Mus musculus: one gene and its partners. The protein of the gene in region 4 interacts with the protein of the main gene of each other region in a biochemical or structural test. Links are inferred from orthologs where the notes say so. Each region holds a gene or a part of one and is shown on either strand. Other genes may lie near its edges.

Region 1 (4,245 bases), on a different chromosome or scaffold from region 4:
GGCCAGTGTCCAGCTCAGGTGGGAATAATCATCTACCCACCTCTAGTCCTGAACCATCTCCCTGCCCATAGCCCAGGAAGGAGAGAAGAAACGCCCGGCCTGGATCCAGGAGCCTATCAGGATTGGAGCCCACCTCCTGGTGATAGACAAGCAGCATCCAGCCCTGCCTGGCCTGGGTCTGGAACCTACAACTCTGTTTGCTGTTAACTATCCCAAGATATATGATGGTGATTGTATATCTAGTCCCAGGGATTGCTCTGTGGGAGAGGGTCTCTAAACACACTCTGGGGTGTCCTGACCTGAGGGGTATCACCAGGCAGAAGTGGAGTTAAAACACCCAAGAAGACAGGCAGGCAGGCAGCAAAGCACCCCCCAGGACAGCCAAGAAGAGCAAGCAAGACCCATCTGACACTTAGCATCCTCAAGACACCAAGCAAGGAACATCAACACCGGGCACCCACTCCCACTCACCTAATCTCCTTTTTCAAGCAGAGGTGGGAGCATCAGCAAGGGTGCCCCTCCCTCAAATGGAGAAAACAACACCCAGTTAGACAGGTGTTTGAAACGGGAGGAAGTAGATTGAAGTCAGATTACAGTCTGATGTTAGAAGCTCAGGTGCAGGCTAAACTAGGGTTAGCTTCCAGATCCCTCCACCACACCCTTAAGATGGACAGCTCTAGGGGACGGTAGAGTAACTAAAATTTGAGATGAGGCAGGGGAGCCTGCTGTGGGGCCTGCCCAAAAGATGGAAAACATTCAAACTAGGGCCTAAGCAAAGGTTCCGTTGGAGAAACTGGTCCCCCAACCAATTTGTCCTCTCAGCTAGGCCACTCCAAACTCTGGCTCTCCAGCCCCAGCAGCTCCTGCCCCACCCTCTCTCCTACCCTCCCTGCTGCCTTGTTTACTTCCTGAATCTTGCCCCACCTAGAAAGCCCCAGGGGCGAGTGGCAAGGCCTAATGTTTGGGGCCAACTGCAAACAAGGCCACCATCTCCTCTTCCCAAGATGAGGCGAAGGGTTCGTGGGGCAGACACTGAGCTGCTGGCCTGGGCAGCCTGAGATCCGGCTCTGGACCAGCACAGGAAGCTAACACCCATCAGGACTTGGGGAGGGAAGTGGGGGGGGGGGGGGGCTTAACCTTTCCGGGTACCGGGAGCAGGTGGGGAGGTAGGAAACCCTGAGTTGACCCAAAGTTGATGCTCCACCCATTCCGCCGGGGTTGGGGGGGGGGTGGGAACATCCAATGAAATAAAGCGGGCGGGACAACTCTTTTAATGTTTAATTTGGGAAGAATGCTAGAGTTCTCTGTAGAGTTAATCATTAGTTTGCCTTCGGGGAGAACACAAACACACACACACACACACACACACACACACACATTAGCACGCGCTATTGGGGGAGAGCAGAGTCCAAGCTAGACAGACTCATGACCCAGAAGGCATTGCATTCTTGGGGGGAAAAGAGGGAGAAAAGGTTGAAAATACTATCAGCTGTCCCTCAGATGCACTCTGTCTCCATCCTACCATGAAAACCCAGACCTAACTAGGTCTTTCCCCCAACTTCAGCCTCAGGCAGGCCCACATACCCGGCCATACACTGTTTTCCAGGCCCCGAACTGCAGACCTTCACACTACACCCACCCCTCTAGCTTTCTTTGTCCACACTCATTTGCAGCCAGGAGGGATCCGCAGCCTGCTGAGCTTCCGTATCGGAGATGGGACCACAACGTGGAGAGATGCAGTTCCAACCATTGCGGGAGTCGCTCTCCCTTACTCCCCTCCGAATGGGAACCCCAGATTGTAGTAAACTGAGCTCAATAAGGTATTGAAGGGCAACCTCCGGATCTAGCACCCCCTACTAACTGGTGTTGGGTAAGAACTAGTTTTAGCCGGAAAGTCAAGATTTCAGGTGATGGAGAGACCTTACCTCGGGTCTCAGGGAGCAAGATGAGGAAGGGGAAGGATTGGTGATGCCAAGCAACAAACAAAACAAACAATGCAGCGCAGAGAGCATCAGGAGTGTGACTCTTTCCTTAGGGACCCAGACCTAACTTGCATCCCATCCCATCCCATCCCATCCCCCAAGATGAAGTTCCCGCTTCCGCCTTTACCCAGACCATAGCTCACCTGCCTGAGGCCACCGGTTTAGGGAGGAAGATTCCAGGCCTTAACTATCACCCACCCCCCTTCTCCCCCACCCCCACCCCCACCCCCCGCCTCTGGCCTGACCTCGCCGAGAGAGGGCGGTCAGGGGGGAGAGCGTGGCAGCCTCCCGGCCATCTAACTGGGCAGCAGGCCAGATCCGCTCGATGCAGGCACAACCTGGGGCCCTCGGTGAGGCTGGGGGTAGGAGCAGATTATCTAAGACCGATCTCGGTCGGCTTACCTGGAGCACCTCCAACAGAAGGAGCCGGACACCCGGCCCAAAGTCTGGCTCTGTCTAGAGATCCCAGACACTTAGATTTGATTTCGAATCCTTTCTCTCTTCTCTACAGATGGTAGAAAGGCTATCCCGCCTTTGGAATGTTGAGGCGGGAGAATATAGAGCGAGCCCTGCGTATCCAGATTCCAGGCCCAGGGAAACTAAAATTATCTCGGGCAGGTAAGGGCGGAGCCTGAGAGGCTCCCTGGAGAAGGAAGCGCAGGAGGAGGGGTGGAGACTCCTCACAATGCACCGCCTCGAATTGCTCTTGCCCTTCCTACTGAGCAGCAGGTGCTAGGAGAGAGGGAGAGAGAGAGAGAGAGCAGGTGCCCCGGAGAGAACAGGCTGGACAGAGAAAAATCTAGAATCCTGACTACATGGGAAGGGGAGTTTGGAGGCTGTTTGTTAAACGCGAATGGTCCCGCCCACTCCTACTCGTCCCATTCCAATGATGGTCAGTTCATTGGTCAAGCTAGGGGGCCGTCTTCAGCTCGGATCTCACCCCCTAGGGCAAAGGGCACTGGGCTTAAAAGGGAAGCCAGAAGAGGTGCTCTGCCCTTTGACCTCCAACCACAGTCCAGCCGCCCAGGCTGTTGTCCTGGCCCTGCTAAAATACCCAAGGTGCACCCTCTCTTCCGAGGCAAGTCCAGGGTCTCACCTTCCTAGTTTCAAGTTTAAGAGTGGCAAGGTGGCCTAGTGGGAGGGGCCACAGTTCTGGTGACCGTTGTGGCCTGATGCAGATGGCTTCTATTACAGCAGTTACTCCAGCTTTCTGGTTCAGCTCACAGCAAACATTGGAGGATCAGGAAGAGGGGTTGAGAGTCCCCAGATCAAAGGCAGCGGGCCACCTCCCAGCTTCCTATGGCTAAGAGTTAAGAAAACAAACAAGCCACTGGGGCGATAAGGGGTCTGCCCTGAGGAAGCACAGCCTCCCTTAGCTTTTCCGCTTGAAAAACTAATGTGGAAAGCCACCGTGGAAGTGTGTGCCTTTTAATCCCAGCTCTCTAGGGGCAGGGGCAGGTGGATCTCTGTGAGTTCGAGGCCAGCATGGTCTACATGGACAGTGAGGACTGTACAGAGAAGCCCTGTTTCAAAAACAGAGTGACGACAGACAGACAGACATCAGACAGACTAGTATGAATAGAGCAAAGCAAAAAGGTGAGGAAGGGGCAGGTTGCTTGGGCCAGGAAGCAATTTGAACAAATTGCAGGAGACAATTTCCTCATTTCCAACCTAGCAGACCTGTGCTTGGCGCTGGGTATACAGAGCAAAACAACAAAAACAGACCCGCCCTTTGCTGGCTGCAACCCAGTCGGGGAGACTGACCTTTAAGAGTCACACAAATAAGAAATGACAGGTGACAAGTTTGCCAGGTGAGTGACTCACAGGAGGCAGGGAAGGCCATGAAAACAAAGCCAGGGAGGACCTGGCAGTGAGTGGGAACCAGAGGGGTTAACCTGCCATGGTGGACCCCCAGTGTGGAGAAGCAGCTGCTGGGAGGGAATGCAGAAGAGAGTGGGGGTGGACAGGAACGGAGGCCATCAGGTAGTCTGGGCAGGTCTTGCAGGTACGGGAGGGGTGGAGGGAAAACACTGCAGCTCTTAAAAGGGGGGAACACAGTCTCTTAAGCTGCTCTGGAAAGAGCAGACCCGTGGGCCCCTCCTCAGCTACCAGAGTCTCAAAGCACTGAGGAGGCAGAGCCCCAGGAATGTGAGATATTGACAAGCCCTCAGGTGGCTGTTTTGCAAACCAGGTTTGAGAGCCATCCATCCTGTTTGTCCAGACTGGCAGGAGGAGTGGGCAGAAGCCAGACCCTGCCAGGAGT
Region 2 (3,500 bases), on a different chromosome or scaffold from region 4:
CTGAGGCATCCATTTCTGCTGGAGAGCCCTGGTCGAGGTGCTGAAGTTCTCCCAAGAGATAGTGTAAGCTAGCCTTTTTTGATAAAGATATCCTCTCTCTCTAAGCATTATTAGCATGCCCGGAAGAACTGAGGCCAGGTTTCCAACCATGAAATAATAGGAGCAGCAATGAGCTCTGGAGAAAGACTATCACCCCTTTTCTTCCCCCTGTCTTTAGGGTCCCTAAATGGGAATGTTGCTGTATTTTAGACACTACAACTTGTGTTGAGCAGTAGTAGTTCCAGTGTGAACAGTCCCAGTAGACAGTAGTGGCCACAGCAGGGGAATACAAATGCAAATAGCCAACTTATTTATTGGTAGACTGTGATGTACATCACACCTTTGGTCATTCTCAATCTCTTTGAGACTAAGGTAGCTATTTTGCTTTGGAGAGATAAATGAATATCGGTTCCCAATTTGGGATGCCTAAAACATGCCTATCCTGAGGCTGTAGTATGATGTGGCAGGCCAGAGAACTGTTAGTTTTGTCGTGAGGAAGCAGTTTATTGTTATGTTGGTGGATGACAATATTTCAGACAGCTCCCCCACACAACCCCTGCATCTCATACTGAGCACCCATCCCTAAGCATTCCCTCTAACACGCATGCGCAGGAAGGAGCTCACGAACAAATGTGATTTGGGGAGGACAGGAAATGGGGAATTAGGAAATTCTCTCCTTGGCATCCACAAGTATTGGGAGGAATAGCAGAGCCCTGTTCTCACTATAGTAGATATGATTTGTTTCTTACCTTCTAGAATAAACCTATGAGTTTTTCCCCTTATCAACATGGGGTGTACCTACACAGTGGATCTCCTCCTTGGAGGGGTGTTAGCTGCTAAGTAAGTAATTGTAAGCTCACCTTGTGACCAAATTCCTGTTACAAAGCTACTTAAAAGCAGTCCCTCTACCTTGATCCTGTTTTGATTTGTGGCCTGTAGTTGTTGGAAAGGTATAATTTCTTTGAAAGGGAATTTCAGGCTAGCAAATGCTCCAGTATTTCCAAATAGGGAAATTGTTCTTTATAAATGAGTCCTCTAGGGAAATCGGTCCTAGTCTGGCTCACTTTGGGAGAAAGACCATCGTGGGACTCATTCAACTTCTCAAGGCAAAACAAGGCCAGGGAAGGTATCAACAGTCAGGGCCATTTATTTTTTTAACTAAAGTGTTATTTCCTGCAGGATGACACTGGTGGCTTTAGTCATTCTTCAGAGTAGTTTCAAACTTTCCAATGTAAAATGAAAAACAAGAAAGAAATTCCTGCTCCCCTGTGTGGACTGAGGGTGTGAGTGAGCCAAGAGCCCCAAGTTTAAGGCTGCTTAAAGTGCTGTATCTGCAGGATGCATTTAATGATTTGCTGTCTGCATCAGACTAACCCTAGCTGAATGCGTGCAGAATCCGATCCATCTTGCAAAGTTCTTTTAAATTGGGGGTCAGAATGCTAAGAGCAAGACAGCTAAATAATATTAAGGTAATCGATTAGAGAAAAAAGATTTGCTTGATGGTAGAAATCTTTTCTGCTCAGGAATATATCAAGCCTGGATTCCAAACATGCATGAACCTTAACTGCATTAAGTCTCTTCCTGCCTGTTGGATTTCTTCTTCTTCTTCTTCTGCTTCTTCTTCTTCTTCTTCTTCTTCTTCTTCTTCTTCTTCTTCTTCTTCTTCTTCTTCTTCTTCTTCTTCTCCTTCTTCTTCTTCTTCTTCCTCCTCCTCCTCCTCCTCCTCCTCCTCCTCCTCCTCTTCCTCTTCCTCTTCCTCTTCCTCTTCCTCTCCTCCTCTTCCTTTAAACACTTTTGTCTTTTAGAGATTATATGGACTTACACTGCTTGCAGAAACAAAATTGAACAGAAAGCCCTGCTTCATTTTTTTGAAAACTGTAAAAGGCTGTGCACGTCATTATGGAATCCTTTGGGAGCAACCTCAACCTATCTGGCAGACCTCTGGAATACAGCTGAGTTCTTTACCACCATGTTCTTTGATTTGCAGGGAAAGCCGCAAAGGCCCCTGAAGACTCGGGCCTACAATGGACAGCCATGGCATTGCCGGCTCTCATTTCGCTTGTAATTGGCTTTGCTTTTGGAGCCTTATACTGGAAGGTGAGCATTGTTTTTCTTTCTACCTCATCATCAACTTTATATACTTGTTTTATATATATACACATACACACACACACACACACACACACACACACACATATATATATACATATATATATATATACATATATATATATATATATATATGGCACTTTTTCAAAAAATTTGAAGAAACAATCATTCTTACTATAACATAGGGCCTCAAAGAAATTCAAACGTTAGGGAAGTGTCCACCATTGTGCATTGGAGGTGTGTCCCCTACTACAGACAAGGCACACTTAAGGGCTGGGGCCCAGTTTAATGGTCTGAATTAAATATAAAAAGAAAGAAAAAATATCAATACTCATATGCTGTGCTTTACAGCCAAACAGATGTGCCTTTCTGTGGCTGCTCTTTTGAGTGCCCTCTCTTTTGTGGTCTTACTGGTCTGTCTAAAATTCCAAAGGTGCCAAATCATGATGACTCTGCATTAATAATTATCTTTTTAATTTGATTGCTATTTATAGAACAGCCTATGAACACTGAGCTGCCCGGGCTTTCACTGTACACACCCACAAATATTTTGATTGCTAAAAGACAAGCACCGGTGACGGTGGCTCAGTTGCCTTTAATAGTAACAGTGTAGAGTGCTGACCTCAAGAATTGCAGCCGTCACTGGGGTTTCTACAATAGGTGTCACTCTTTTTGTTTTTCCAGAAGAAACAGTCAAGTCTTACAAGGGCAGTTGAAAATATACAGATTAATGAAGAGGATAATGAGATAAGGTATTTTGTTCTCCTAACTGTGTGCTCCAACAAGCTTGGTGTCGTCCTTTCTCATGCTGTGCCTATGCAGGACTCTAACATCTGTAGGGAGGTGTTCTTTAAGGAGATGTTCCGAGATGGGCTGCACCTCCCATTCAGTGTGTTCCAGATGTGTCGTAATTTCTGGCCTTCCACTGTGTCTTCACTCTTACGTCTTTACCTATGAATAGTGTCTGGGAAGGCACATTTGCCTAGGTTCCCTTTTCTATTGGTGTCCTTACATCCTTTGGAGATCGCCTTTCTCACCTGTGTCTGGTGTCTCTATTATGTGTTGGCTGAGTGGCGATGATCACACTCTTTTTTTGTCTTCGGCTCTGTGAATACATTCTCTGTCGTGTTATTTCTGAAATCTCTGTTTGCGATGCTGCTTCCTGTTCACCAACACTACATGCCTTTCCCTGGCAGCCTTCGATCTAACTTTTCACTTTATTCTGAATCTCAGATCCCTTAGTTTTCTCGAATGCTTTTAGTATTTTACCTACAGCTAAATAAAACCATTATCTTAAGATGTTTTCCAACCTCCTGTAATTGACAGTGATGCCTCTTTCACCATTCCCTCCA
Region 3 (4,018 bases), on a different chromosome or scaffold from region 4:
TGACAATAACACTTCTCTTAAAAGATCTGTCTTGGGCTGGAGAGATGGCTCAGCAGGTAAGAGCACTGACTGCTCTTCAGAAGGTCCTGAGTTCAAATCCCAGCAACCACATGGTGGCTCACAGCCATCCGTAATGAGATTGGATGCACTCTTCTGATGTGTCTGAAGACAGCTACAGTGTACTTACATATAATAAATAAATCTTTTAAAAAAAAACTGTCTTGAAAAAAACAAAAACAAAAACAAGGAAATGTCCTCTGTACCCTGATCTTCTCATGCTCCTGCCTCAGCTTCTCCCAAGGCTTGGATTGCAGGCTATGTCCTTCAACCCCAAGGGCCAGTGCCGTTTCAACACATATACTTCTCAGGTAGCCCAGGCTGGCCTTAAATTGACTACGTAGCTGAGGATAACCTTAACTCCTGATCCTTCTGCTTCTGCCTCTCCAGTGCTGAGGTGACAGGCCTGTGACACCACAGTGTGTCACCCATTGAGCCCCAGTCCCCACTTTTGGATCTTTGCTAACTGTAGGTACTAGAATAAACATCTGTACAAAGTCCACTGGTAAGACAATTGGAGGAGGTCTCGCTAGGCCCGTGCCAGAGCGAGTCAGAAAGCAGTTGGTTACTGCAGAGCACTTGGACCACTACTGCACCCGTGGGGCATCTGCCGGCAGTGTGGGTGGTGGCTGATGGTGACAGGAGGGAGGGAGCCTGTGACTCAGACACTGTCATCAGCAATAGGGTCCGAGAAAAGTGGAACTTTGGGCTGCCTTGGTTCCAAGTCTCTGGGCCTCCCTGGCCAAGGACTCCTCAGTGGGTACCTGCATCTGCCTGGGGACTTGTGATTAAGGACTGTGGCTTCTGGCCGTGTCATGTCCATCAGGGTGCTTCTAGGCACCTCTGCCCAAACGTGCTTAATTACTTAATTGGGTTTTATTTGCTTTTTTTTTTTTTTTTTTTTTTTTTTTTTTTTTTTTGAGGCAAGTTCTTACTCTGTAGCTCTCTATTTTAGCCCAGGCAGGGTTCCAACTCACAGAGATCCTCCTGCTTCTGCCTCCGGAGGGCTGGGAGGATGTTTGAGTGCTCCACAGCTGGCATGTCTGAAAGTACAGGCAGACCAGGCAGGGCCGCAGCTTGCCTTGGTCTCCTTCCCGGACAGGGAGCTCCTTCCTACTCCTAGCACCTGCGCGCGTGCCCGAGCCATTCCGCGCTCCCAGCTTTCCCAGGGTGGGCGAAGGAAGGCTAGGATTCAGCGGGGACCCGAGAGCACCCGGCACTTGGTACTCAGCACTCTGCCCGGACGGAGTGGGAGGCGCAGCGGGAGGAGGTGGCAGCGCGGTCTTAGTGAGACCGGCGCTAGGACCCGCGGGGGCTCCGAGCCGGGTCCCCTCCATCCTTGCCCCAAAATGAGGAAGCCTTGCAAGTTGCTCCGAGTTGAGCCACTGGGTGCTCGACCCGCTGGCAGGGACCCTCCGAGGGTCGCGCCCTAAGCAGGTGAGCGTGTGTGCGTGGGTGGAGGGGGACACCACTCTCGAAACGGTCCTGGACCCGGGGGCGTCGGGTGCAACGGGCTGGTTTTTGTTTTATTTTGGTTTTTTTCTGGGTGCGGCGTGCAAGTCTCTGAGTGCGCGAGTCCCGGTGGTCACTGCAGGGCCCTTGTGCACCACAGGCACCAGCACAGGTGTACGCGTCTCACTGGCGCCCTTGTCGCACACACGGGGGTGGCTGGTGGCACCTGTGCCCAGATGCACGTGCGCCTCCGCCTGCGTGGCTGCCGTGCAAACCCCACTGAGTCTGAGGCCAGGAGCGCACCCCAACCTCCCGCCCTGCCCCCCTGCCAGCCACCAGCCGGGGATCCGGGCAGCCCTGCAGTGCCTGCGCTGGGATGGGGTGGGTCCCCTCAAGATGCTTCTTTGGTGACCCGTTGCGACCCGAGGAGCCAGGAGCTATACGGGAGCCTGGCCTCCTCAGGTTCCGCTTAGGGTCAGATTCCCAGGAATGACCTTGAGTCACGGCCCCTGCCCACAGCCTCCTCTGCCCACGCCCAGGAAAGAGGAAGCCACAGGCCCAGTTCTTTCTCACACACAGCCCTGGCTGCCACCTGGGCCAGATCACTCCATTCCTGACTCTGGGCCTCAGTTTCCCTTCCCGAGCAATGGCAAGGCGAAGCTCCCGGGTCTCCTGGCTGGCCTTTGAAGGCTGGGAATCTAGGGACCTGCCTCGGGTAATGATCACTGTCCCTAAAGCCAAGGGCTGCAGAGGGGCTCCACACCTAAGCCATCCAAGGGATGATTTGAGGGAGGCGCTTTGCTTCCTGGATGCTGCTGCCACCAGGCCAGACCCTGAGGAAAGAGCTGGACCTGGGGACACTCCCAGCATGACACTGCCTTCCTTCACAGGTGAGCCCTAGATTGTTCGGAGCTTGGCACCCCGCGCCTGCTGCAGCTAGGATGCCAACGGTGAGTGTGGGGCCCTGAGTCACCAAACCTTTTCAACTGTCCCCTTTTGGGGGGGAACATGCCCCTCCCCACTTGAGCAAGCACCCACACCTGACAGTCCCCAAGGACCCCTCTCCCCCCACCCGCCAAAATGGCTTCACGTGACTATAATTCTGCCTCTCTCTATAACTCTGTTTCCCTCCCCCCTTCCTTTCTGTATTAGACATTATCCCCAGGCCTCTATTCTTTATTTTAATTTATTCTTGAGACAGGGTCTCAATGTGTAGGTATGCCTGGCTTGGGACCTGAGAGTCTCCAGGCTAGCCTCAAACTCAGAGATCCACTTTCCTCTGCTACCCCCACCCCTGCCCTGAGTTCTGGGATTACAAGTGTTGGCCAGCACTCCTGGCATCATCATCTTTTAATTTTTGAGACAAAGTCTCACTGTAGCCCAGGATGGGCCTTTGGCTGGTTTGGAGTCCTCCTGGCTCAGCTTTCTGAGAGCTAGGCTACAGGCCTGTGTCTTCACTATTCCCTTGTCCGGTCTTCTATCCTCACCAGCCCCAGCTTTCTCTCAGGTCTCTCTGTCCCTCCCAATTCCCACTTGTCCCTGTGTTCAGTCCCTGACATACCTCTGCCTCTGTCTCCTTCCCAGCAGCGCTGGGCCCCTGGGACTCAATGCATGACCAAGTGTGAGAACTCTCGCCCCAAGCCCGGTGAGCTAGCCTTTCGAAAGGGTGACATGGTGACCATCTTGGAGGCCTGTGAGGTGAGAGGGGAGCTGGAGGGTAGGTGGTGTGCCTTGGGGGTGCCAGGGCCGACACCCACCAGCTCCTTCCCCACATCTGTTCCCTTCCTGTACAGGACAAGAGCTGGTACCGAGCCAAGCACCATGGCAGTGGGCAGGAAGGGCTGCTGGCGGCCGCTGCTCTGCGACAGCGGGAGGCCCTCTCCACAGACCCCAAGCTCAGCCTCATGCCGTGAGTGGCACCCTGGGGGGTGGTGTGAGAGGCTCAGCCCCCTCTACCCCTGCCTTACACAGCCCCCTCTCCACACACATCCCTACAGATGGTTTCATGGCAAGATCTCCGGCCAGGAAGCCATACAGCAGCTGCAGCCACCCGAGGACGGGCTGTTCCTTGTGAGGGAATCAGCTCGTCACCCTGGAGACTATGTCTTGTGTGTCAGTTTCGGCCGTGACGTCATCCACTACCGTGTTTTGCATCGAGATGGGCACCTCACCATCGATGAGGCCGTGTGTTTCTGTAACCTGATGGACATGGTGGAGGTGACGTGTGGGGCAAGGCTGGGGAAGGAGGGATGGAAATATGGATGGTGGCCCCAGGAACTGTCACTTCTTTCTCTAGAACTGGGGTCACCTCCCCAGGGAGCTCTATGTTCACACCAACCACCCCTCAGTTTCCATTCTACAACCCCCACTGTTGCCATGGAAACCCGATCACCTTAGCCTGGCACTTAGAGGAGGAGTCTGGCAACCTCACTGAAACTTGGGGTGGGATGGTGGGAGCGGTCCTGCAGGGCAGAGGCTCATGGCCGGCGGCCTCCACAGCACTACACCA
Region 4 (4,204 bases):
CAGATTCTGGTGAGTTGTATAATGGATGCACAGTTGGGCACACGGAGCTGAGCTCCGGTTCCTTCACTGGCTGTTTTGGGCAAGTGACTTATTCTCCAATTGGAAAACAATGGTGGAATAGGAATAGACACTGTAGTGGTCTAACCTCCTGGGCCCCTGAGTACAGAAATGGCAGGCAAAGCCCTCAGTATGGGGAGCCTTGCAGACATTTACTGATTGTGAAGCCCCAAGTATGCACAAAACACATCCATGATATGATATTTAAAGCACAGTAGGAAGAGTGTTGCAAAAGCATGGCATACATGATTTATAACGTCATACGAATGTGTGGATGGATGGGGAGAGCCCAGAATGGGGGAGACGTGGAATTATTGAGGATCTCTTCAAGGAACTATCAGATTATCTCCAGCAGGATCGTAAGCCAGAATGCCAGGTGCGTGAATGACCATGAATGACTAGGGACTTGCACCTGCAGGAACAGGGGGTGTGGGGAGGGGGAGGAGGTCTGATTCACTGTTCTAGGACCATCCTGTTGAGCTGTAAACCCACTGTGAATGCCCCGGAAGGAGGGGTTACTGCAGAGCAGGCACTGGTTAGCCCTCCAAAGGTTACAGCATAAACAAAAACACAAAACTGCTTCCTGCAAAGCCTGGAGCAAAACCGTAACACACACACACACACACACACACACACACACACACCCCAAAAGGCCCTTAGACAAGAAAGCTGCTTTCTGAAATTGTGAACTCCTCAGATCCTTCGTGATGCAAATGTCTTCAAGTACCTTCCGTGGAAACCAAAGTCCCCCCCAACACACACCCACTCCCAATTTAAATGACCGCCCAAGGGCACAAAACCAAGGAGGCAGAATGGCTGAAAAGGAGGCCTGAAACGGGAGAGACAGAGAAAGGAATTACAACACACCCTGTGCCAGGAATCAGACCTTCAAATTCCCTCTGCCAAAAAGTTATTGGCCAGAGCAGACTAATCAGGGGGAAAATGCAAACCATTGACTCGTTTCTGTTTTCAAAAGGGAACTGTGATCTTTGTGGCGTTCCACCTTGCTCTAAAGCAGAACAAGGTGGAAAACGTAAAAGATCACTGGGGTCATTTTCAGCTAAGTGGTCAAATATGCCTAGGAATCTGAACACTCATTTGTGACCCTTGGTGACCCCTCTTCTGTGCGCGCAGAGGTCCAGATGCAAGACTTCCCCCACAAAAAAAAAGCCCTCTCCCAGCCTTTCAAAAGCATCTAGGGAGTGAGATCTGGAAAACGCAGTCAGCGGTGGGCTCAAAACAGGTCACAGAGATGCTGGCCATCTGACGCCTTATTGCAGCGTGCAGATTGTCTCTAGCCTATAGCATCAAGGTAACCTAAAAGGGTTTCTGGTTTTTGTTTTGAAAATGACCTAGGAGGGAGCAGGGCTTCAGGACTAAGCAGGCAACCTGCACGGGCAGTGCACCAGCGACACCTGGCAAAAAAAGGGGCAGGGCTGAGGAGCTCCGGAACCTTAAGATCTTGAGACCCAAGTTACCCTGCAAAAGGTAACAAGATTTTCCCAACAGCTTGAAGAAACAAATGCTATTTGCAGAAAGCTTACCCCTTCTCCCCCACCCCCTAGCCTCCCCAGGCAGCCCTGAGTATGGCTATCACGTGGGAGAGGGTTTCTGGATCTCGGGATTCCCCTCCAAAAAAAAAAAAAAAAAAAAAAAACGGCCACCTGCGATTACAAGTCGCATACACTGAAACCAGAGGTTTCCAAAGCTGGGGAGAACTGACTCGGTCCTGGTCCAGCGCGCACGAGGTGGCAAGAACAGCTGCGTCCCCGCACGCAGTCCCTGATTCCCAGAAGCTGGCGACCAACGTAGGCTACAGCAGCTCCCTGGCGCGTGGCAGCAACGAACACCGTGCGGCTGCAGAGAGGGGCGAGCCCCTAGCACGAGATTTACAAAAGGAAAAAGTCTGCAACCTAGCGGCTGCTCGCCACACGCCCGGCTCAAGTTGTCCCCATAGCCGCCACCTACAGGCTCGTGGGGTCCCGCCCCAGAGCCTCACGCCGCGTGCTCCCCGTGCAAAAAACGGAGTTGGGTGGGGGCAAGCAAGCCCGAGATTCGTCTCCTCGGGTGGCGCCGCGCACGATGAGAGCGGCTGCAGTTGCGTCCCCAGCACTGTGCACAAAGAGCGCCCGAGGTGGGGAAGCAGCGGCCGCAAGAAAAGGCTCTCCAACTTTGCCCGGCGTGTGTCCGGGACCCGTGGGCTGGTTGTCCCAGGCGTCGGTCACCCACGCGCAACTTTTAACAAAAAGGAAGCCGTGGCCGCACCTCGCTCGGAGAGAGGACGCTCTCGGTGCGAAGCCCGAGGCCGCCCGCCCCTGCCACCCGCGCGCAGTCGGCACAAAAGCATCACCAAACTCGCCCGCAGCCTGCAGCTCGCTGCCTGGGTTCCCAGAAGACCCTCGGCCCCGGGTCTCCACCACCCGGGCTGAGGTCTCTCAGCTCAGGTGAGCGAGGCGGGCCACCAGAGTCCCGCGGCCGCCTACCACCTTCGAGGTGGTAGGCATGGGAAAAGCCAACAGCTACCACTCCGGACGCACCCAGGTGGCACCCCTCCCGGACCCGGGCTGCGCCCACAGAGGGTGCAGTCCTCTTGTCTGCCGCTCTTTCCCACCTGTCTGGCCACGGAGCAGGACCAACAGGACGCAGAGCAGATCCCAGGCGCCGCGAGCGCCTCTCATCGCGGTGGCTGCGCTAGACTCTGAGCTCCTCTCTCTGCTACAGCTCTCGCCCAAGTGCACCGAGCGCGGCAAAGCCGAGCCCCCAGAGCCACTAGCGGCGCGCGACAGCCCCTCCTCCAGCCCTCCTCCCAGCTCGTGGCCACGCCCCTCCCTTCTCCCGCCCGGGTCGCACTCCCTCCCGCTGCCTAGTGCCCGGGGCTCTCGGGCTGCAATAAGCTGATCCCGGGGGCGCTGTGCCCTCTAAGACCAGGAGCCCCCACAGGCCCTCCACCCTGGATCCTCTTCCTCCTAGCACTCTCCCTCCATCGGTGGTCCTTCAGTCCAGGCGGCTGGCTGGCCACGCAGGTGCTGCCCGCGCTTTGTGAAGCCCAGCGCCACGAGCGCATTAGGTACGGGCCAGCCACCTGGCAGGTGCTCCCTAGACAATAAAGGACAACCACCGGTCCCTCCAGCAAGCTCCGGAGCGGGGAGAATATATTCGGCTTATGGTGGAGGTGTTACTAGTCGGGATTGCCGGGCGAAGGGATTAGGAAACTGGGTCCCCAACATTTATTTCTGTTCCTGTTGGTAGAGGAGGACGGATCGTGGCACCCCTGACCTCAGTAAAAGACCGAGCCCACGTTTAAGTAATTTTTCATGCTCAGTTTCTCCACCTGCTGCGAAACCTGTAAGAATACAGCTGATTTCTATTGGCCAGCGTGGACCTCCACCCAGCCAAGCTCCTGCTGAGACTTGTGGAAACTGGGCCAGTGGACTACAGAGGCATCCTGTGAAGGAGTTAGCTTTGAAACTCGGTTTTTAAAACCTATTTGCATTTGGGTGCCTTTTCTCTTGTGTTAATTATTTTTTTAATCTCACCCTCAACACCCCCCCCCCGCCCCATCCCCTCTGAGTCCCCCTTTCCCCAACTCGATCCGACTGTGGTCTGCCTTAGGAGCAAGATAAAAGCAAAATAATTTCCTTTTAAAGTTTTTTTTTAATGTGTATGAGTGTTTTACTTACATGAATATGTGTGTGTGCCACGTGTGTGACTAGTGCCCAGGGAGGTCAGAAGGATGTCAGATCTCCTGAAACTAGAGTTACGGATGCTTGTGTATCATCTTGTGGGTGCCTGGAGCCCAACTACTCTTGTTCTTTGTTTGTTTCTTTGTTTGTTTGTTTGTTTGTTTCGAGACAGGGTTACTGGCTGTCCTGGAACTCACTTTGTAGACCAGGCTGCCTCGAACTCAGAAATTCGCCTGCCTCTGCCTCCCAAGTGCTGGGATTAAAGTCATGCGCCAACTTTCTTGTTCTTAACTAATTGACCCAACTCTCCAACTCCTAAAGTAATTCTCTTAAGACAATTTCTACCTAGGGACATTTCACAGTCACTGTGGCTATCCGGGGGTGGACAGTAACAATCTGGGTTTTTATAGTATCCGGGTCTACAGTTAACGTTATGAAGTAGAGAAGATAAACGTTTGTTTTGG
Region 5 (3,500 bases), on a different chromosome or scaffold from region 4:
AGCTCCCCCAGGTTCATGACACTTCAAACCTAAAACCTCAGATCTGCTACAACTAGGCCTTAGAGCAAACACTAGGATTTCCACAGGAAAAGATGTGTTAACATCTTCCCCACAGCCTTACAATCCAGTCAAAGGCAGCAGCTTCTCTGGCAAGGCCAGCAGGAAACACTTACTTGACGGACAGGGAGAAGTCCCCAGGAGCGCTCTCGCTCTCTCGGATCAGGAAGGCCCCGTCATGCCGCTGTTTGCTGAGCATTTCTTCTGCCTTGGCTCTGGGGATTTTGCCAAAAAACCACCTAAGGAAGGAAGGCAAGCTGGTCACCATCTGCTTCCCCACAAAGAGACGGGATGTACAACCTGGCATGTAAATGAGAGCGCTCCTGTAGTGAGTGCTTGTCAGAGACAGAGGGGAGCTCTTTACCTGCGGGTCTCCTGCCTAAGGCTCCCTGGGGCTCTTACCTGGCTCAGGGCCTTCCTGAGAGATGGAGCTTTCAAACAGCTTCGCTTACTCCACACTCTAGATCATAATTCAAGGCAGCAACACAGGCCACTCTTCAGTCTCCAAGGAGACCATTCCCAACATGCAGTCTGAAAGCCAGTTTCTGAGGACAAAGCCCTCCTGCCTCTCACTCATCAGGAGGGACCTAGGAAAGCCCTGACACCCAAGATAAGGGCAGAGGGAAGACAGGCCTTTCAAAGCCATTTCATAATAGGAGTGCAGGGAAAGGCTGGGAAGGCCTACAACTTCGCAGCTGTAGAAGGGTGGATTCTGCAAAAGCAAGAAGGGAGGCTTGCATTGTGAGGAATTAGAGTCTAGGTTGTGGCAGTGATGCACGCCTTTATCCCAGCACCCAGAAGGCAGACAAAGGTGATCTCTTTGGTTCCAGGTCAGCCTGGTCTACATAGTTTCAGGACAGCTAGAACTACACAGTGGGACTGTCTCGAAAAACCAAAGCCCATTACCTTATGGTATCTGAAAAAAAATTTTTTTAAATTATTATTTATTTTATGTATATAGTACACTGAAGCTGAACAGATGGTTGTGAGCCTTCATGTGGTTGTTTGGAATTGAATTTTTTTAGGACCTCTGCCCACCCCGGTTGCCCCCACTCACTCCAGTCAACTCCACTTGCTCAGTCCTTGCTCCTGCTTATTATACATAAGTATACTGTAGCTGTCTTCAGACATGCCACTCCTAACATTATGGGTGGTTATGAGCCACCATGTGGTTGTTGAGATTTGAACTCAGGACCTTCAGAAGAGCAGTAAGTGCTCCTACCCACTGAGCCATCTCGCCAGCCCTGGTATCTGAAAAATTTAAACATGCAATGATAACTAATCACAACAGTACCAGACTGTCTATTAGTGACAAAGCCTCATTTCATTACAGCTATTATGCCATAGGTGTATCCCACCATGCCTGGTTTTATGTGGTGCTGGGTGCTGAACCTCAGGCCTCGTGTATGCTCACCAAGAACATAACTTTCATAATCATATTTACAATTTTTTATTTCAAGCTAGAGGAACAGCTCAGCACTTACGAGTCCTGGCTTTTCGCCCCAAGGACATGGGTTCAGTTCCCAGCACCCACATACCAGCTCACAACCACCTACAAGTCCAGTTCCCGGAGAGAATGATGCCCAATTCTGGCCTCTGAAGGCCTGTGACAAAGAGACATACACATAGGTAAAACACCTATATACATAAAATAATAATGTTTTCATGGTTATTTGTTATTACTGCCACCTAAAGCTAACTTTATAATCATCTTTTCATTTTCTAAAGCCACCGTGTATCCACATGGGGGTTAGAAGACAACCCTGGGGGGTGGGGGGTGTCATTCTGTTCTGACAGCCTTTTGTGAATTCCAGGGATGAAATCCAGGTCACCTGGCTTGTGTGACAAGTGCCTTGCTTGCTGAACATCTGTGTAGCCCTACTGGGGTCTGTTAAGCTGTTCTGAGGCAGCCCTCATATGGCAGCCCATGCCATCCTACAAGTCTGTGCACCAATATGGCTGCCTCGGAATCCCACACTCCTGCTTAGCTATCTGAGAGGTGAAAATGTAAGAGGAAGCCACCAAGGCTGGTGTCTGCTTTGAATCAGGGTTTTATGTCTGGTCAACAACGGCCTACCAAGACCTGAGAATTATAGGCATTTGCCACAGGCAGAGCTCACAGCTGGCTTAATAAACAACTACCCTGCAAAGTATTTTTAAAAAAAAATTCTGCCAGATTAAAACTAAGATTCAGGCAAAGACATGAAGCTGCAGGGCAGGGTGCCCAGAGACTGCGGGAGTCTAAACACTCCCAAGTCTAGGTTTCAAATCCTTCTCACTCTGCATCTCTGATGCCACACACACCATGGAGACACCTTCCTGTTGCTACAGATGCTTAAGAATGAAGCCTACAGTGCCCAGGGAGCAGCCACACCAGGGAAATTCCCTACCAACAGACGGAATCACCTCAAAAGAGACCAGAGAAGCTTCGCTCACTCTATGGATGGTCCAGCAGCATCTAGTCATGGCCATAGGCTGATCCCCAGTGACAGCTCCCTCACCTCCACACTCACCAGGGAAGGGCAAATGTTCTCAGCACCCATCTTCCTCTCCCTTCCCCGATCACCAATCACATGCTTTATTTATTTATTTCAGGTATATGAGTACACTGTAGCTGTCTTCAGACACACCAGAAAAGGGAATTGGATACCATTGCAGATGGTTGTGAGCCACCATGTGGTTGCTGGGGTTTGAACTCAGGACCTCTGGAAGAGCAGTCGGTGCTCTCACCTGCTGAGCCATTTCTCCAGCCCAGTACATACTTTTTGTTTTGTTTTGTTTTTGTTTTTTCAAGACAGGGTTTCTCTGTGTAGCCCTAGATGTCCTGGAACTCACTTTGTAGACCAGGCTGGCCTCGAACTCAGAAATCCGCCTGCCTCTGCCTCCCGAGTGCTGGGATTAAAGGTGTGCGCCACCACGCCCGGCTCAGTACATACTTTTTAAACAATTACTCTTTTGAGAATTTCATATAATGCTTTCTGACCATATTCACCCTCTTTTCTTTAAAGCTATAAAGCAGTGGGTTTAAATTAAAGTAGCCTAAATGCACACTAAGGAAGAATAAAGAGCAGCACTTTCTCTCATGCCCCTGCCTTTCATCAGGAGTTGCTGGCTGCAGGCAGTGTGTGCATCTAGGCTTTCTTTATGGGCATCAACCCGACATTTGTGTGAGCCCCAGTGCTTTCTCATTCCCAACTTAAGAATCAACACAATTTTATTTTCAGCTTAAAATTTTAAAAATTTAATTTTAGATTTATACCTATAATTCTAGCACTGAGAAGGAAGAGGCAGGAGGATTACTGTAACTTCAAGGCCTGTCTGGGTTATATAGTGAAGCCATACTTCAAAAACTAAAATAGAACAAAAACATTAGTTTGTAAGCCATTTCACAGATCTGTGTCTGTGTGTATGCTCCAGGCTCACTAAGTATACAGTCTCGAGTT
Region 6 (4,300 bases), about 43 Mb from region 4:
GCAAGCAAAGTAAAACAAAATAAAATATAAAACAAATTCAAAACAGGTTAGACTAACATTGAGAGGGTTTTTGTTTGTTGTCTTTTAAATTGGGAGAGTTTAGGGTCACAAATATATTTCTATTTTATCTGTAGGTTTAGAAAGGCAACAGCTCAAGTAACTAACGTTCTAGTTTCAAGAAAAAACTTGCTGGGCGGTGGTGGCGCACGCCTTTAATCCTAGCACTTGGTAGGCAGAGGCAGGGGGATTTCTGAGTTCGAGGCCAGCCTGGTCTACAAAGTGGGTTCCAGGACAGCCAGAGCTATACAGAGAAAAACAAAAAAACAAAAAAACAAAAAAAAAAAAAAAACAAAACAAAACAAAAAAACCCCTTAATGCACCAGTCAATGGCAAAATAAAGCACCGCGCTACATCACACATAGTTGTTCATGTGGATTCCCATTCCTTTCTCTGAAGAAACTTTTTAAAGCTGTGTGCATTTAAGTTGCTAAAGTACCAGACTACTGACGGAGTTGATATGTCAAAGATGATGCTGAATTTCTCTGAAAACCACAAAGGAAACCAACAGTCCCACATTAATACTTCGAATAACCCCACCAAAGAGGAAATACAAAAGGGAAATTAAGAGTGTGATAAGGCAGACGTGCCTTTAGCAGGAGTACTTCTAGATTGTCTTTTGACCCTCTCAATCTTGTACCTCAGTTCCTCCTAAACCCTTCCTTTTTCTACAAGGCAAGCAGAAAAAACGATGCAAGGCCTTCGGAGGGAAAACAAACAAAAAACCTTTCATCTTGACTTCTTCACTTCAAGGGGCCCAAACGTCAGCTTTCATAGCTGTCAAGAAGAGTCACAGTGCCTGTCCGGGTTCCCTATTACGAGGATCAAATACAATGCTGTCCCACTCTAAGTGAGAGCCACCATTCCTGGGAGAATTGCCAACACAACTCAGGTTCGGTTCTACTCGCGCGGCAAGGCTGGTTCGACCTACAGTCAACAGGAAGCTTCTGCGGCCAGACGAGAACCAAGGTGTCAGCACTGCCCTGATGGCTCACGCGGTTCGACTGTGATTTTACTATCAGTGACAAAGGGTGCGGAGGCACAAAGCTGAGAAATGAACAGTCAACCTTTCTCCAAAGAACCCCAACCCCGATCACCCTCCGAAAACAAAGCCCCACACCCCTCAGTGTTTCGGTGAGCCAGGCGGAGCCCCGCTTCGCCCGTTGCGGTAGTCGGCGTGCGGGCAAGGCAGGGAACCACATGCCGCTGCTGCTTTCTCCTCACGCCCCCTCGGGAGCACGCCTGACCCCTGGCGCCATGTTGGGCCGGCAGGCACGACACGGCCGGGCCTCCCAGCGGCCCGCGGACCCCGCGCAGAGCTCCCGCGCCGGAAGGCGCTCCCAGCAGACAGCAGAGCGCGAGTTCCGGTGAGCGGGCGCGCGCAGGTAGCCGCAACCCCCGCCCCGCGCGCGATCCGGAGCGGAGGGGCGGGGCCGGCGGCGAGAGGAGGAGAGAGGGAGGCCGCGGGGTGCGGGCGTCCGGGAGTTCCCTCCTCCTCAAGTAAAGCGTCCCGGGCCGGCTGCGCCGCCGTCGCTGCCTCCTGGCGCCCCGCGACCTGGAGGTGGAGAAGGGAGAGGGACCCGCGGGCGTCCACCTCGGCCGGCCGCCTTCTCCCCGCGGCGACCCGTGCGAGTGCGGCCGGACTCAGGTAAGCTCGCGGCGTGGCCTCGCGACGTAGGCAGCTGACCCGGACCGGGCAGCTCTAGGCCTCGGCATCCACCCTCCTGCTCCCGGGCTTCTCGAGGCGCCGCCGCCCCTGCCGCTGTCCGCCTACTGGTCCCGGAGTCTGGAAGTTGAGGAGAAACTTCTCCCCTCCCGCGGTCTGGCTGGCGGGCGTGAGTGTCTCGTCTCCTGGGCTCACTACCTGCTTGCCCAGTGCCTCGGTCTCCGCCCTGTCCAGTACTTCCCGATTCTGCGGGAGTCCGGATAGTGGTCCAGCCTATGTGGTGCCGCCGCTGCACCCTCCACCCCAAAGGACGTGGGGTCACTCCCGAATGAGGACCAGAGGGTAGGGCAGCGGCCCCTTCTCGTCCTAGCGGCTGGAGGTCTGTGTCGCCGGACGCCCGCAGCAACTGTCTGGAGCGAGGAGTGGAACTCGTGGAGCGAGCGGGTGAGCGGCGGGTTGTACTTGGTTTGATTGCAAACCACGACCTGTTTATAAAGTTTTCCTTTGTTTGGGTTTGAGGGTGTTGGGACGTGTTACAATCAGCGGCCACTTTTAAGTGCCTTGCCACTCCGCCTCCCCGTGAGTTCGGTTCTCTGTCCTCCTGTGTCAACGAAAATTTTGTTTGTGTTTTGCTTCTTGATAATTGCTTCCAGCTTTTGCTTTATTGGGCTTGAGAAAGAGTTGTTTTTAAAAAGTGGGAATATCGTTTCTGGTATAGGGATTGTGAATGGGGCATAGCGTAGTTTTGATGTAGTTATTCTTTGCATAAGTGATTGGAACAGCAGTGGAAATGACAGTTATCAAAGTAAATAAACGAAAAGTATGCAGTTGAAACATAACTTTGTACCTCTCTTGTGTGTTCCACAGCTGTGTTTTTTACATGTGATTTCACAGGATATTTCGGTATGGTATATTCATGTATTTCGTGTAAAATTACTGACCAAAATTGGCAATTGAAAGTGAGTTTAAACATCCTGTTAAATTTCTAAATTTAAATTACTCACTAATGAAAATGTTATTAAGTGTGCATGTGTGACTCAATTTAAGGCCAAATGTGTGCTACCTCTATTAACCAGCACAATGGTGTGGACTAGAAACATTTTGAGTGGGCAGATAGGGAGTGTTAAATTAAAAGCCAAAGTTCTTATATGCAACATATATGAGAGAGAATACAACTGTAGGAAAGTTGTTCTTCAGGAATTTTTTCCGCTTGCTAAATGCATTTAGCTATATCTTATTTTTGAATACCAGCAAAACCTCAGTGAAAATGTAGATGCTGGTTGACATTTCAGTAGGTCCTAAATTTAGGGGAGGGAGAAGATTGCCTTTGATTGAAACTTAGATACAAGACTGTTTATATTCCATATTTCCAGGATAAAATAAAAGCTTTTAAAATGTGTGCTTTGCCATAAAACTACGGTAATGTTATACCTTTAATTTTGTAGCTAGTTTTTGCTGACTTCACAAACCACAAAATTGACTCCTTTCTGTTCAACTGAAAGTGAAATTACAGCCTTGACCTGTCTTCTTGGGATAGGTGTGAAATTTATCTCATGGCCAAAGGATAATATTAATATATAGTCAAAAATTGTTTTTAGTTGAAGAAATTCTCAAAAAAACCCATTGTCTTTGCAAATAAAATTTTATTTCATTGCATATATAAATAAAAGAATATGCTAAAAGAGTAGTGAAATATTACTACTTGTATACTTGTTTAAATCCTTGTTTACTTACAGTTCAAATTTGCATAGTTCTAACAGTAATAGCATACTACTGTGGGTAATTTAAAAAAATATATTTTATTTATATAAGTACACTGTCGCTGTCTTCAGACACCAGAAGAGGGCATCAGATCCCATTACAGATGGTTGTGAGCCACCATGTGGTTGCTGGGAATTGAACTCAGGATCTCCGGAAGAGCAGTCAATGCTCTTAACTGCTGAGCCAACTCTCCAGCCTTGGTAATTTTTAAAAAAAATATATTGAGCTTCCAATTTAGTGGTTCAGGTTGGTGTGAGCATCATTTATTAGTCTTATTACTTATTACCATTGTTTAGGAAAGAAACCTGAGCAGATTTTTTTTTTTTTTTTTTTTTTTGAAGAGCATTGCTAGGTTCTGATGTCTAGGGATGCAAATTTAAGTGATAAAACTATTAAAAAAAAAACTACAAGGAAGTGATGCTTCTATCCTTGGGGTCTTGGAGGTGTTAGTTTTAATTTAATTTATGAGCTCATACATTTGTGTGTTTGTTACCTGGGTTTTATATTTTACATAAAAATATTTTTAAGAAGCCTGAATGTAATGCAGTATAGAAGGTGCTTAGGTTAAGTTAATAATTTTCAAGATAATCTGGTTTCCTGTCACATCCTTTAATCTTTTCCCTGTTGATTAAAAATTTTAGTCATTGGTGTCTAGCTTAAGGGCACTCCCTGGGCTCTTCTTTGCTAACAGGTTTAGACTTCTTGCATCATAAATATCATATACTAGTTTGTGTGTGAAAATACCACACACACACACACACACACACACACACTCACACAAAAAAATCTAATAAAAAAAAGTTAAAAAAAAAGAAA
Region 7 (4,025 bases), about 46 Mb from region 4:
GACAGGGTTGTGTGGGAGGAAAAATCTTTCAGCCATCTGCTCAGCTGCTGGGGTTTCCGGCTGGCCAGGGCGGGGCAGGCCATCAGGTCCCTTAGGGACTTGTCTCTTGTCCCAATGAGAATGGTACTGGGCTGGAGAGCTCAATGCAGGAGGTGGGGGCGGGGGCGTCACTGAGATCCCTAGATCACTGACCAAGAGACACAGGTTGTCCAGATCATGGGGCGCAAGCAGGTGGTGTCTAACAGTGCCCAAGGGCATGCAACCAGGCCTGAGGTGTACCCGGTCCCTGAAGGACCTCAAGCCCCCGGAAGCTGGAAGCTGGGGTGCAAGGCTCCTGGGTCCAACTAGGTATGACTCAGCTAGTGACCCCCACTGAGTCATTTCCCCTAAGCGGTGTGCCAGCCTCAGTTTCCTCGGGGAGGGTGGGTGGCCGGGAACAGGCCTGGCAGGAAGGAGCAGCCCCTCCAGAAACTCCAGATGGAAGCTGCTTCCTGCTCTGCCCAACCAGAGATGCTCAACACCCAAGGGGCCCTGGGGACCGTTTTCCCAGGAAACCTGGCAATTAAGGGCCAGCCACTCCTGGATTAATAGCAATGGATTAATAGCAATAGCTTAAATTTATTGAGCACTAACATGCCAATACTGCATGCCTCTCCCCGACTCTGTCCTTCAGCACCTCCACTTCAGACTTCCAAGAACACCTGTAACTCTGAGACAGCACAACCCAAGCCTAAGATCTCAGAGTCAGGCCAGTTACTGCCTACCTGCTTCAAATGTCTTCTCCTTGTTGGGCTCCTACATAGTGCACAACCACCTAGAGAGGCACAAGACTTGGCTGACACTGGGCAGGTCCCAAGAGATGTCAGGTAACTTGCCCAGGGCCTCACCCCTGAAGCTAGCAGAGTCTGGATTAGTCTCCACACAAGTGCTGCTCCAGGGAGAAATGAGGACTTGAAAGGAAAGACCTCTCGTTTTAGTTTTAACAGTACTATCTGTCCCATCTCCTCGTGCCAGCAGTTAAAACCCTTCCCGCTCTTGATGACTTTTTCATTGCCTCACAGAAGTGCCCACCCAAAGAGTCACAGCAATGGGACATTCAGCAGCTGACTAGCCTCACAATGTGGGCTGGACCCCCAGAGACCTGCTCTGGAAAGGGTGTGATACAGGCCCAGGCAGCCGGAAGGGGCTCCCAAGCACCTTCAGCTCTATCGCAGAAGTGGGAGAAACCAGATGGTGGCCCAACTAGCCTAGACAGCCTGAGGCACACAAGCTGATGGCACAGCCCAGCTACTCAAAGGAAAGGACCGTCACTTCTCTAAGAACATTTTGAACGATGAGGACCAGGCACTGGGTGACATTTGGTGCCAGAGAGTCAGGAAGGAAGAGGAGCAGCAAATGACCTCAACAAAACAGATAACACCCTTGTCATGACTGCCTGCCCTCCTGATCAAGCCATCCTGTGCTCTGGTGGCCCTCACAAGTTAGGTGTCAACTGAGGGAACCCAGGCCAGGAAGGGGTTTGTCATCTGACCCTGCCCAGGGTCCTTCAGAGTTCCCTGCCCACAGACTCGGGAAACCCCAGAGCAGCTATGCTCAGGAGAGAGCCGAGGACGGTCCCAGGGCCAGGGTCAATAAAACTGGACAGTCTGAAAACCAACGGCCTGTAACTGAGGTCTTCTCCCAACGGCCTGTAACTGAGCCCTTCTCCCAGCCGGACGCAGGTGCCTTCCACACAGCATTCATTAAAACTCCACCTCATTGTAACTGCACCACAAATCTCTTCTCACTCACTGAACAGCGGGGAAACTGAGGTCGCGACCCTCATCTTGGAGAGCAGAGGAGAAAGAACACAAGTTCTGCCTCTAGGACCCTCGGTTTCCTCTCTTGTCACTGCCCAGCCCTTGAGATCCCCAAACCACAGCTGCTGCCGCTGCTGCGGGCCAGCCCCTTCCCAGCTGACCACCCATTGGGACTGCACAAGTTCCAGAATGTATTCACCCCTCCTGGCTCAGATGGCGTTTCCTCCCAGAGGAGGCCTGGGGAACAAGGTTCAGAAAGTGTCCTAAGAGCATAAAACTCTTATAACCTCAACTTCCCCCAGCGGGCCCTGGCCTGTCATGGCCTGTCCCACCCCCTTCCCCCATCTCTGGCTGATTTCACCTTTAGGACTCCGCATATCATCCTTGGTTGATCACCGGGGCACTAGTGACACACGTGTCCCCCCCTCCCACCCTCACCGCCAGCACACCCCCCCCCCCGGCAGGGGCCCAAGCACGCTGTGTGCCGGGACAGCTCTCGGTTCCTCCCGCGGCGCCCCGCCAGGCTCCTCTCCGGAGGCCCCAGCTGAAAGCACTGACCTCCGCGCCCACATCACTGCGGTCTGGGATTGGGGAAGAGAAACAGAATGAGGAAACGCCAGAAAACAGAAGCGGGACCCGGGGACGGCCGCCCGGCCCAGTTCCTCCAACACGCTCGGCGGGCCGCGCTTACCGCGCAAGCTGCGGGTCGGGGCCCGGCCGGCCCATGGCGTCGCACGGCCTCTCGGCGCTCAGGCAGGAAACCCCGGCTCGGAAAACGGCCAGCGCCTCATTTCCGCCGCCAGCTCCTGACAGCAGCCGGGGGACGCGGCCTCGGGCCGTCCCCAGGACGCTGCTGCTGCTGCCGCCGCCGATGTGGACCCCGTGTGGCCCGTGACAGTCTGGGCTGGAGAGCGGCCAGGCGGAGGCGACGGCCCGAGCCCATGCCGCCCCACGCCGTTATGTAAAGAGGAACCAGCCGCGAGCCGCGCGCGGCGGCGGAGGGCGGCCTGGGGGCGTGGCCACAGAGAGCCACGCCCCGGGGCCGCCTGCGGAGGCCGGGGGCGGAGCCTATCCCGGCCCCGCCCTCCTCTCGCGCCTCCGCCCGCTGCCCGGTGGGAGGTAGCATAGCGACAAGCTCCGCCCCCATAAGGCGCGCTCTCTGCACCCAAGTTGCGTCGCGCCCCCTAAAGAAGGGAAAAAAAATAATAATAAAATAAAGAATCTCGAAGGGGAGGAGCGTGCTCGGTCCCGCCCCTCTCGCGCTGGCCAGTCACCGCGTGCCTCGGCAAGGCGGGGCCCCTAGAAGGGGTGGGGCGGGGCTAGGCGCGCGATGGGCGTGGCTGCCCCGACCTTCGGGACCTCCTAGGGGCGCGCCCCTGCGGACTCCCTCCAAGCCCAACCTTATCTGAGCTTGCCCGGCCGGGTCTAGCAACTGCGACCGCGGTTTTCATCACCTCCAGGGGAAGGGGCCAGCCCCACCCTGGCCCCACTATCCATGACTCCGCCGAGCCGTCCTGCCTCCGCGGCGCCATCCATTTGAAGTCCGCTCCCCTCCTAAGGTCCTCGGAGTCCCGGAACGGGCCGAGTAGGCTGTTCTCTACCTGGCCGCCCGGCCGCATTCTCTAGCTTGATGAAACTTTCTCCAAGAGCTCCTTCGCATCCCAGGCAGCCGAGCCCTTTGAACGTCCACGCCTGCGCGCCCCTTAGCCCTTTACCTTTTCTCTATCGCCACATTGGCTAACAGTGGGGTGCCCCTGTTCTGAAGTGGAGTCACTCACTGCACGCCAGTCTTCCCCGCGACTCTACGGAGGGAGGGGAAAGAGGAATGCCTGTCCCCTCCCCCTCCCCCAACAGGAAGCAGGCCGCCCACGCCCCCAGCTTGGAGGGGCCACTGCAAGCCTTCCCAGACGACAGGCTCCCACGAGCCGCTGGCTCCCTGGAGCCTTCCCCTTGCTGCGTGGGACCAAATATTTGACCCCCTCCAACTCAGTTTTTTCATCTATGAAATGGAAATAACACGTGTCTCCAGCCCACTCAGGGACTGGAAGAAGTGAGTTGCTCACATTAGAGCAGCCTAACCAACCGGGCTGAATTCAGTCCCCGGGCCTGCTGTTGGAGCCCGAAGAAGGGACTCCCCCGTAGGTGGGGATTTCCACTACAATCGGACGGCAGCAAGCTGGAGCCTGGTAGCAAAATGGCTTGGAAGAAGCCCCCACCCACCCACCC

Evidence for each region.
Region 1: the proteins of Kit (region 4) and Grb7 form a complex in vitro, tested with the Homo sapiens proteins (3 studies listed by BioGRID and IntAct, with this or other methods). The link is inferred for Mus musculus from reciprocal best matches to the Homo sapiens genes KIT and GRB7.
Region 2: the proteins of Kit (region 4) and Kitl form a complex in vitro, tested with the Homo sapiens proteins (3 studies listed by BioGRID and IntAct, with this or other methods). The link is inferred for Mus musculus from reciprocal best matches to the Homo sapiens genes KIT and KITLG.
Region 3: the proteins of Kit (region 4) and Matk form a complex in vitro, tested with the Homo sapiens proteins (2 studies listed by BioGRID). The link is inferred for Mus musculus from reciprocal best matches to the Homo sapiens genes KIT and MATK.
Region 5: the proteins of Kit (region 4) and Grb2 form a complex in vitro, tested with the Homo sapiens proteins (5 studies listed by BioGRID and IntAct, with this or other methods). The link is inferred for Mus musculus from reciprocal best matches to the Homo sapiens genes KIT and GRB2.
Region 6: the proteins of Kit (region 4) and Yes1 form a complex in vitro, tested with the Homo sapiens proteins (2 studies listed by BioGRID and IntAct, with this or other methods). The link is inferred for Mus musculus from reciprocal best matches to the Homo sapiens genes KIT and YES1.
Region 7: the proteins of Kit (region 4) and Sh2b3 form a complex in vitro, tested with the Homo sapiens proteins (2 studies listed by BioGRID and IntAct, with this or other methods). The link is inferred for Mus musculus from reciprocal best matches to the Homo sapiens genes KIT and SH2B3.

Annotation. Positions count from the first base shown.
Region 1 is NC_000077.6:98,445,389-98,449,633, reverse strand, and holds the start of Grb7 (growth factor receptor-bound protein 7), read right to left. Parts: upstream 2,801-4,245; 5' UTR 2,385-2,800; intron 2,150-2,384; exon of another isoform or gene 2,126-2,149; intron 837-2,125; exon of another isoform or gene 1-836. UniProt on the Homo sapiens protein: Adapter protein that interacts with the cytoplasmic domain of numerous receptor kinases and modulates down-stream signaling. Promotes activation of down-stream protein kinases, including STAT3, AKT1, MAPK1 and/or MAPK3. Promotes activation of HRAS.
Region 2 is NC_000076.6:100,085,321-100,088,820, forward strand, and holds part of Kitl (kit ligand isoform 1 precursor), read left to right. Parts: intron 1-2,026; coding exon 2,027-2,136; intron 2,137-2,832; coding exon 2,833-2,900; intron 2,901-3,500. UniProt on the Homo sapiens protein: Ligand for the receptor-type protein-tyrosine kinase KIT. Plays an essential role in the regulation of cell survival and proliferation, hematopoiesis, stem cell maintenance, gametogenesis, mast cell development, migration and function, and in melanogenesis.
Region 3 is NC_000076.6:81,256,081-81,260,098, forward strand, and holds the start of Matk (megakaryocyte-associated tyrosine-protein kinase), read left to right. Parts: upstream 1-1,218; 5' UTR 1,219-1,494; intron 1,495-1,749; exon of another isoform or gene 1,750-1,890; intron 1,891-1,960; exon of another isoform or gene 1,961-2,155; coding exon of another isoform or gene 2,156-2,224; intron 2,225-2,399; coding exon of another isoform or gene 2,400-2,450; coding exon 2,451-2,459; intron 2,460-3,093; coding exon of another isoform or gene 3,094-3,096; coding exon 3,097-3,207; intron 3,208-3,302; coding exon 3,303-3,418; intron 3,419-3,506; coding exon 3,507-3,726; intron 3,727-4,008; coding exon 4,009-4,018.
Region 4 is NC_000071.6:75,573,583-75,577,786, reverse strand, and holds the start of Kit (mast/stem cell growth factor receptor Kit isoform 1 precursor), read right to left. Parts: upstream 2,801-4,204; 5' UTR 2,736-2,800; coding exon 2,669-2,735; intron 2,045-2,668; exon of another isoform or gene 1,741-2,044; coding exon of another isoform or gene 1,722-1,740; intron 1-1,721. UniProt on the Homo sapiens protein: Tyrosine-protein kinase that acts as a cell-surface receptor for the cytokine KITLG/SCF and plays an essential role in the regulation of cell survival and proliferation, hematopoiesis, stem cell maintenance, gametogenesis, mast cell development, migration and function, and in melanogenesis.
Region 5 is NC_000077.6:115,649,598-115,653,097, forward strand, and holds part of Grb2 (growth factor receptor-bound protein 2), read right to left. Parts: intron 297-3,500; coding exon 174-296; intron 1-173. UniProt on the Homo sapiens protein: Non-enzymatic adapter protein that plays a pivotal role in precisely regulated signaling cascades from cell surface receptors to cellular responses, including signaling transduction and gene expression.
Region 6 is NC_000071.6:32,609,671-32,613,970, forward strand, and holds the start of Yes1 (tyrosine-protein kinase Yes), read left to right. Parts: upstream 1-1,500; 5' UTR 1,501-1,553; coding exon of another isoform or gene 1,554-2,382; intron 2,383-4,300. Other genes in the region: Gm10461 (collagen alpha-1(II) chain), read right to left, coding at 1,554-2,382. UniProt on the Homo sapiens protein: Non-receptor protein tyrosine kinase that is involved in the regulation of cell growth and survival, apoptosis, cell-cell adhesion, cytoskeleton remodeling, and differentiation.
Region 7 is NC_000071.6:121,834,060-121,838,084, forward strand, and holds the start of Sh2b3 (SH2B adapter protein 3), read right to left. Parts: upstream 2,801-4,025; 5' UTR 2,491-2,800; exon of another isoform or gene 2,358-2,490; intron 2,201-2,357; exon of another isoform or gene 2,161-2,200; intron 2,046-2,160; exon of another isoform or gene 765-2,045; intron 1-764. UniProt on the Homo sapiens protein: Links T-cell receptor activation signal to phospholipase C-gamma-1, GRB2 and phosphatidylinositol 3-kinase.